Linked DNA regions of Neurospora crassa OR74A. The protein of the gene in region 1 interacts with the protein of each later gene in a biochemical or structural test. Links are inferred from orthologs where the notes say so. Each region holds a gene or a part of one and is shown on either strand. Other genes may lie near its edges. The genes, in order: arp-3 and NCU10777.

Region 1 (4,207 bases):
ACTTGGCAAGCGAGATGGGGTTTTTGATGCCTGCATATGTCAACGAGTGTCAGCATGTCGTTTCTGGCCGCTCATATGTGGCACTGTCGGTTTGGGCGTACCCGAAACAGCGCCACAAGCACCACTCCTCCCCAGATGGTCGACTACAGTTGCGTCACATTCGACAACTCCATCCATGTTGAGATTACTTCCGAAGCCGGCATTCGTAATCTCTTTGTCCTCCAAACACCTGATAGCAGCTTCGACAGCCTCGGGGGCAGAAGCACCGGCTTTCAGAAACCTCATGGCGACACGGGAGGCTCTAGTTACAACCGCATCAGCAAGGGATCACCTGATGACTCTTGACTCAACTTACTCGCTGCATGCTTCCAAGTGAACCTTTTCATTCGTAATGCTATGGTACCCTGCACCTGCGTGGACAAAGATTGCCGCAACTGGCTTCGTCGTACGCTTCCATATCCTTTCGACACCACCGTCCAATCCGTATTCATGATCACCAGACCAGTTTGACTCTGAGGAGCTGTCCGACATGTCCATATCTGATTCAGGTGACCCATGGCCGGGCTCGGCATTTTTGCTGCTCATCGTGGGCGCAGCTGTGATAGAACGACTCGAGGAGATAGTCGAAGCAGCGTGTGATCTGGCGAGGTCGAGTTGTCTGGTAATCGAGCATGTGTCTTTCAAGCGAGTCTGTATTCTGAGGGCACATAGAGTCCTTAGTTTTGGTGTGTCATGGGTGACTTTTGTGCCTTGGGACAAAGATGGGCGAAAAGACTTATCGAGGCAAGGGCGAAGAGTTGGAGAAGATCGGAACGGGTGGATGAGATGAAAAGGGTGGTCGGACTTGGTGTCCCTCGTAAAAGCAACCTGCTAAAACAATGAATGGGAATAATGCTCGGTAGTGATAATGTCTTGAGGGGTATTTGAGATTGGAGCGATGCCCAATGAGCTAGATGATGCACTCAGGGTGGCCCGAGGGGTGAAGAGTCCCTTTGGATACAGTAGGTGGGCGGGATGAAGATGTGTGAAGGCAAAGGTGGCAAAATACAGAATACGACAGAGAGAGAGAGACGGAGAGAGAGACGAAACGGAATGTGGACACTGGACAGGTTGATGATTCGTTGTGATAAGTGAGAAGCTGTGAGTGTGTGTAGCTTCTCCGCAAAGTGGACTTGCTTCGAGAGGATGAAGCTGAAATGAATCCGACAGAAATGGCAGGTGTGAGGGAATCTGGCTGGAGGTGATTTTCCATTCAGTATCTCCTTCCTTCTTAGAAGGACACATCCTGTCTGGCTGGCCTTGTCGCTACAGTTTTGATACCGATCGGCCCCACTTTTTCCTAGCCATCATCGTCCGGGCCCGGGCCGTGTGCTTCAAACTCCGATGCTTGGGACCGGGGCATCGGTTAGGTTTCGGGGGGCTCGGATGGCGCGCAGGTGGCAGCGAGGTGTTTGGTTCCGTCATCTCCAGTTATGGCGTAGGTCCCGTCGCTGGAAATGCACAACTGACTAAATGGACCGCCGTACCATACGGGGACCTCGCGGTCTTGGCGCACAGCCGCACAGGTACCTCCACAGTACCACGCAGCGCTGTCAGCCAGACGAGTAAGGAGAGCTAGCTCGGCCAGGCACGTACAATCTTGGACATCAACCTCCATTTCCCGCCTGGCCTATCCACTACCCATCCACGCTCCCGCCCCGTCACTTCATCCATCACCAACTAACAACAGCCGTTGCTTTACCAAACCGCAATCATCACGAGCTGCGCGTAGCAGCACACCACCGCAACAATGGCCAACACAACCCCCGCCGTTGTCATGGACAAGTACGTGCATCCAAGTGTCCCGTCTCCACCCCGCCCGCTCCTTAACAGCTCCGGGGCCGTCATCGCTAACATCCCCTAACCAGCGGCACGGGGTTCTCCAAGCTAGGTTCGCGACTCCGACACCCCAAGATATCCAATGACCACCGATTGACCAAGCTCTTCGTCGTCTGCAGGTTTCGCCGGCAATGATTCCCCCTCGTTCGTATTCCCGACGGCCATCGCGACCAAAAGCCCCTCGGCAGGCACCGGCGGCTCGGGCTCTGGCCGCCCCGCCGTAGCCAACAAGCCATCCTTCCTCACCGGCGGCGCGGGTCCAGGTGGCCATCTCTCAGCAAAGCGCGGAACCGAAGACCTCGACTACTTTATCGGCGACGAGGCCGTAGCGGCCGCCAATGGACCTGGTACGTTGGTCTACACCGCCTCAACGGAAATGGGTGCTGACGGTGTTAGGCTACGGGTTGCACTATCCCATCAGACACGGACAGATCGAGAACTGGGTGCGTTCAGGCTGCTAGATGGCATGTCACAAATGCCTAGAGCTAACTGGAGCTTAGGATCACATGGAAAGGTTCTGGTCCAACTCCATCTTCAAGTATCTGAGAGTAGAGCCTGAGGACCACCACTTCCTCCTCACTGAGCCCGTAAGACTACACTTTCCAAGCCACATCAGTACTACGTCTGCAGCACTGACACGTCGATTCAGCCTCTCAACCCTCCCGAGAACCGCGAAAACACCGCCGAGATCTTCTTCGAATCCTTCAACTGCGCCGGTCTCTACATTGCCGTCCAGGCCGTTCTGGCCCTTGCGGCTTCCTGGACATCATCCAAGGTCCAGGACAGATCCTTGACCGGTACTGTCATTGATTCGGGTGATGGTGTGACACACGTTATCCCGGTCGCCGAAGGTTACGTTATCGGCTCGTCCATCAAGTCGATCCCTATTGCCGGTCGCGATATCACCTACTTTGTCCAGTCGCTTCTCCGTGACCGCGGCGAGCCCGATTCGTCCCTCAAGACGGCCCAGGAGATCAAGGAGGAGTACTGCTACGTCTGTCCGGATATTGTCAAGGAGTTTGCCAAGTACGACCGCGATCGCAGCCGATTCCTGAAGCACACCATTACCCAGCCCGGTGGCCGCCAAGTTACGGTTGATGTTGGCTACGAGCGTTTCATGGCGCCCGAAATCTTCTTCAACCCCGAGATTTACTCGTCCGATTTCCTTACGCCCCTGCCCGTGGTTGTTGATGGTGTCATTCAGTCTTCGCCCATCGATGTCCGTCGTGGTCTCTACAAGAACATTGTTCTTTCGGGTGGCAGCACGCTCTACAAGGACTTTGGTCGCAGGCTACAGCGCGATATCAAGCAGCTTGTCGATACGCGAATCAAGGCCAGCGAGGTGCGCAGCGGTGGAGCAAAGAGCGGTGGTCTTGATGTCCAGGTTATCACCCACAAAAGGCAACGGCACGGCCCGTGGTTTGGTGGTAGCTTGCTCGGTCAGACGCCCGAGTTCCGGTCGTACTGCCACACCAAGGCAGAGGTATGTTTCTTTACCCTTTTACCATTGGCAGTCTGGTTGCTGACGGATCTTTACAGTACCAAGAATATGGACCCAGCATCGTGCGCAGGTTCGCTCTGCTCGGAGGACCTGGTGGATCTTAAGCGTAGTTATTTGTGTACAGGAGCGAGTCCGCATCTTATTTGGCAGGCAGCGGGCGCCGATGCTTATATAATGGCGATGAATAGAAAAGAGGAACTACTTAATGCTAGTGAAGTTGGGTCAGCGTAGACGGCCAATGTGTCTGTTGTTGTGTTGATGTTTAGGAATCCGTTGCGCAGAGCAACGGTCCCCTTAAAAGGGGGGCTTAATGGTACCGATCGGCTGGTTCCGGAGGCGGCGTGCCAAGCCATTGACGGCATTCACTGTAACTCTCGGTAAGCAAGGATGTGTCAGCACCACGACCACCGGTTCGCGCCGGGTGGCCTGATATGGCCCGACAGTTCTGGAACTGGCCGAACTCCCATCGGGCAAGCTAACCGATAGCTTCGCATCAGTTTCACAACTTGCTGATTTTTCTCTTCATTTTTTCAATGTTGTTCCTATTCTCAGCCCATTGATTAGATTCTAATCAGGACTGGGCTCGATTGTCATGTTGAAAGATGTTGCCTGACATGCTCGGACGTCACCTCACAGTAAACCGACCGTGTTCCCAGAGAGCATTCACAGTTTGGAGGGTTCAGTGATCAGATTGCTTACTTTGCGCCGGGCAAGGAGCAAAAGGTTATGCAACTTTCTGCATGCCTTCATAGAGGTCGGTACCATAGGTATGGGTAGGTAGGGTAGGTAGTACGACAAGAATGCGGGGAAGAAGCTTCGTCGCTGAAA
Region 2 (3,353 bases), on another chromosome or scaffold:
GGGCGTAATGGATACCGATATCTGCGGCCCTTCCATACCGAAAATGTTGGGCGTAGAGGGTGAGACGATTCATGTGTCCAGCACGGGCTGGAGTCCAGCATGGGCAATGGATAATCTAGCTGTCATGAGCATCCAGTTCATGCTGCCGAACCGCGACGACGCGATTATTTGGCGCGGGCCCAAGAAAAACGGGCTGATCAAGCAGTTTCTGAAGGATGTGGAATGGGGCGATTTGGACTTCCTGCTGGTGGATACGCCGCCCGGCACGTCGGATGAGCACTTGAGCGTGAACACGTACCTGAAAAAGAGCGGGATTGATGGCGCTGTGATGGTTACCACGCCGCAGGAAGTGTCCCTGTTGGATGTCAGGAAGGAGATTGATTTTTGCCGGAAGGCGGGGATCAAGGTGTTGGGACTGGTGGAGAATATGAGCGGGTTTGTGTGCCCCAAGTGCACGCACGAGAGCGAGATCTTTAAGGCAACGACAGGTGGCGGGAGGAAGCTTGCGGAGGAGATGGGGATTGCGTTTTTGGGGAGCGTGCCGCTTGATCCGAGGATTGGCATGGCGTGCGATTATGGCGAGAGCTTCTTTGATAGCTTCCCGGATAGCCCGGCGTGTAGGGCCTTGAAGGGGGTGGTCAAGGGGCTGGCGACGGAGATGGGATTGGATCCGGAGGTCGTGATGCCGGAGGAGGATGACGCTTGAGCGAAGTAATGGCCATAGCATGGGCGGAGTTCAGGGACTGCTTTTTGGCTTTGTAAGGCTGGGATATCACGGCGTTTATATAACGAGAAGATCATGAATGATCCAGAATCTGGCTGTACTTTGCCTTCCATTCCAAATGGCCTCCCTTTGCTTGTTCCTCGTCCCAGTTGCCAGCTCTGTGTGAAAGCTCACGCCGGGCCCTGTTGGTCGCTCTGGAGACCAACCTTTGTGCCCGTCCGTCCATCCATAATAAGGCTGTCAGCTCGGCGCCCTTTACTGCCACACGTCTAAGCAGCCCCAAGCTTGGCCGGAATCTCTTCCAGCTCCTCCGGCGACTCGATATCGATAATCTTAGTCACCTCGCTCGTGTTGCGCATCAGCTCCTTGGCACCCGCGTACAACATGCGCATTGCGCTGTTGCATGTCGAGGGCATGTAGTAGAGCATAACGTAGGGCACCGATAGTCGGCCGGAGGGCTGTTCCACGCCATTGTCAGTCGCAGTTCTCATCTGTTCCATTACACCCAGCCATTCTTCGAGAAGACCAGGTGGATATATATGTTTGACGAGCAGGGCGACGAGTAGGGCGGCTTACAAGAGTTAGGGGATAACTCAACAACACAAATCTCGGACTGTGATCGGGCAGGTCATCGCCGATTTCCTCGAGGGTCTTGTATACAACTTTGTCGTCGTCTTGCTTGATCTCTTTGGTTGTCTTATCGATCAGGTCTGTTTTGCGCGATACACCTATTAGTTTTTTCTGACCTGCTGTACCGATAGCCAGAGATAGGGTCCGGGGGGGGATAACGGGAACATACATACAGATGACGGCCTGGGGGTCGTTGGAGCGCGAAGTCCCAAGGCGGAACTTGCGCAGGTGGTCTTTGGTTTCTTGGGAGAAAGTGTAGAGTCTTGCTTCGGAGGCCTGGCATTTTCGGCATCAGCTATGGTTCTTGAGAATCTCGAGAAGCTGCTTTCTTTCAAGAGCTTAGAAGCTGGAGAGAGGAGCTGGTGGTGTGGATGGATCGGATGTTGCGATAGGTAGGAAAGCGGCGGCGCACCATTGTGAAGAGCTGTTTTCGGGTCGGTCGAACACGCAAGATTCGGACGGCAAGAAGAAGGAAGTGGTCGCGAGGGAAATCGAAGGGGAACAGGCAATGTCGCAAAGCTTTGGGATAGTAGCAAAAGAGTTGAAGCTCGAAAAGATGTCGCATTGAGCTGTCATGTACAAGACACCGCCCTCGTCCAGGCTCCCGTCCCAGGGACGCAAGTCGGCCCCGCATGGCATCACTGCCAAGTCCACAGCTCAACTGCTGAGGTATCTGCCCCGTAGCGTAAGCTGTTATCGATTCCTCACTGATGGCGGGGCTGTCCCGGCCATTAGCCCGCGGAAGCTTAACAGCTTGACCCGCTAAAACGGAGCGGGGAAGGCGCCGCCTAGCCTCCTTCCCTGGGCGGGGATCATGTTAATGGACGGCGATGGCAGGCACCAGTGCCGCGACCACGCATCGGGCAAGACAAGCCGGAGACCCGATCTCATTCCCATTGTGGTTGTGATCTTGCAGTGGACTTCCCTCTCAATCCTCTCTTCTGTTATTTCAACCTCAAAAATCTGTTTTGTCTTACAAGACAAACTTCTCCTGGACTTAAAACCTTCATGTTCTCTCGTTTATCCCAGATTGCTCGGCACTTGTTACGGCCAGCGATAACGTCATTTGTTGCCCCATCAACATCAGCTCCGCGCCGGACTTCAACAGCATTCTTCAACAGCATTATGGGTTCAACAGTCACGGCAGATGAGCGCAATGCGCGGACTATCCATACAGCAGCGTGTTTGATTATCGGTGATGAGGTTTTGGGTGGAAAGGCAGGTCCAGTCAAGACGTGCTAGTAGGGTGATAGCCGAAAATGAGACTAACAGCTGTTCTCTGTTGTTGTGTAGACCAAAGATGTGAGTCGAGAACTCGTAAATTTTTGCCCTGACGCGCCAATGCTGACTTACTACAGACTAATTCCAACTACATGGCAAAATGGTGCTTCAACCTGGGAATCGTGAGCTCCAGCCATCCACTCTAAAGTCCCGAGAAGAACCAAGCTCACTGTAGATGCCCCATATCAGAATCTCAAGAGGATTGAAGTCATCGCCGACGACGAAGATGAAATTGTCGAGGCTGTCCGCCGTATGAGTGACCGTTATGACTTTGTAGTCACCAGGTACTACCAACACCGAGTTTTCTTCGAGTGTCCAGGACACATCATTGACCTCATTGAACAATAGCGGAGGCATCGGCCCCACCCACGATGACATTACCTACCAATCGATAGCCAAAGCCTTCGGTTTGCCTCTCAAGCTGAACGAAGAGGCTTTTAAACTCATGAAGAAGCTTTCTGTTCCTCGCAAGGGCGAGCCACCGTTCAACTGGGACGAGCCCTCGCCCGTTCTCACCGCAAAGCTCCGTATGGTGGAGCTACCGACAGACGTCAACAGAGACCTGGCGAAGCAGTTCCTCTTTCCTTGCAAGGAACTTTGGGTGCCAGTTGCGGTGGTTAATGGGAATGTGCACATCTTGCCGGGCGTGCCTAGGTTGTGTATGTTTCCTTTTCCGATCCCCATGGAATATCGAAGCAGTGTCGAGGAAGATTATTGA

What was found.
Region 2: the proteins of arp-3 (region 1) and NCU10777 form a complex in vitro, tested with the Saccharomyces cerevisiae proteins (2 studies listed by BioGRID). The link is inferred for Neurospora crassa OR74A from reciprocal best matches to the Saccharomyces cerevisiae genes ARP3 and AIM7.

What each region holds. Positions count from the first base shown.
Region 1 is NC_026502.1:2,534,430-2,538,636, forward strand, and holds arp-3 (actin), read left to right. Parts: upstream 1-1,597; 5' UTR 1,598-1,789; coding exon 1,790-1,824; intron 1,825-1,907; coding exon 1,908-1,930; intron 1,931-1,997; coding exon 1,998-2,225; intron 2,226-2,274; coding exon 2,275-2,321; intron 2,322-2,378; coding exon 2,379-2,465; intron 2,466-2,527; coding exon 2,528-3,361; intron 3,362-3,417; coding exon 3,418-3,483; 3' UTR 3,484-3,645; downstream 3,646-4,207. Other genes in the region: NCU01757 (asparaginase), read right to left, coding at 1-30, 102-301, 356-585. UniProt on the Saccharomyces cerevisiae protein: Functions as ATP-binding component of the Arp2/3 complex which is involved in regulation of actin polymerization and together with an activating nucleation-promoting factor (NPF) mediates the formation of branched actin networks.
Region 2 is NC_026504.1:5,112,035-5,115,387, forward strand, and holds NCU10777 (GMF family protein), read right to left. Parts: upstream 1,913-3,353; 5' UTR 1,770-1,912; coding exon 1,767-1,769; intron 1,631-1,766; coding exon 1,528-1,630; intron 1,435-1,527; coding exon 1,301-1,434; intron 1,183-1,300; coding exon 994-1,182; 3' UTR 732-993; downstream 1-731. Other genes in the region: NCU08825 (cytosolic Fe-S cluster assembling factor nbp-35), read left to right, coding at 1-706; NCU08824 (molybdopterin binding domain-containing protein), read left to right, coding at 2,480-2,572, 2,648-2,656, 2,713-2,757, 2,825-2,919, 2,984-3,294. UniProt on the Saccharomyces cerevisiae protein: May be involved in mitochondrial organization and biogenesis.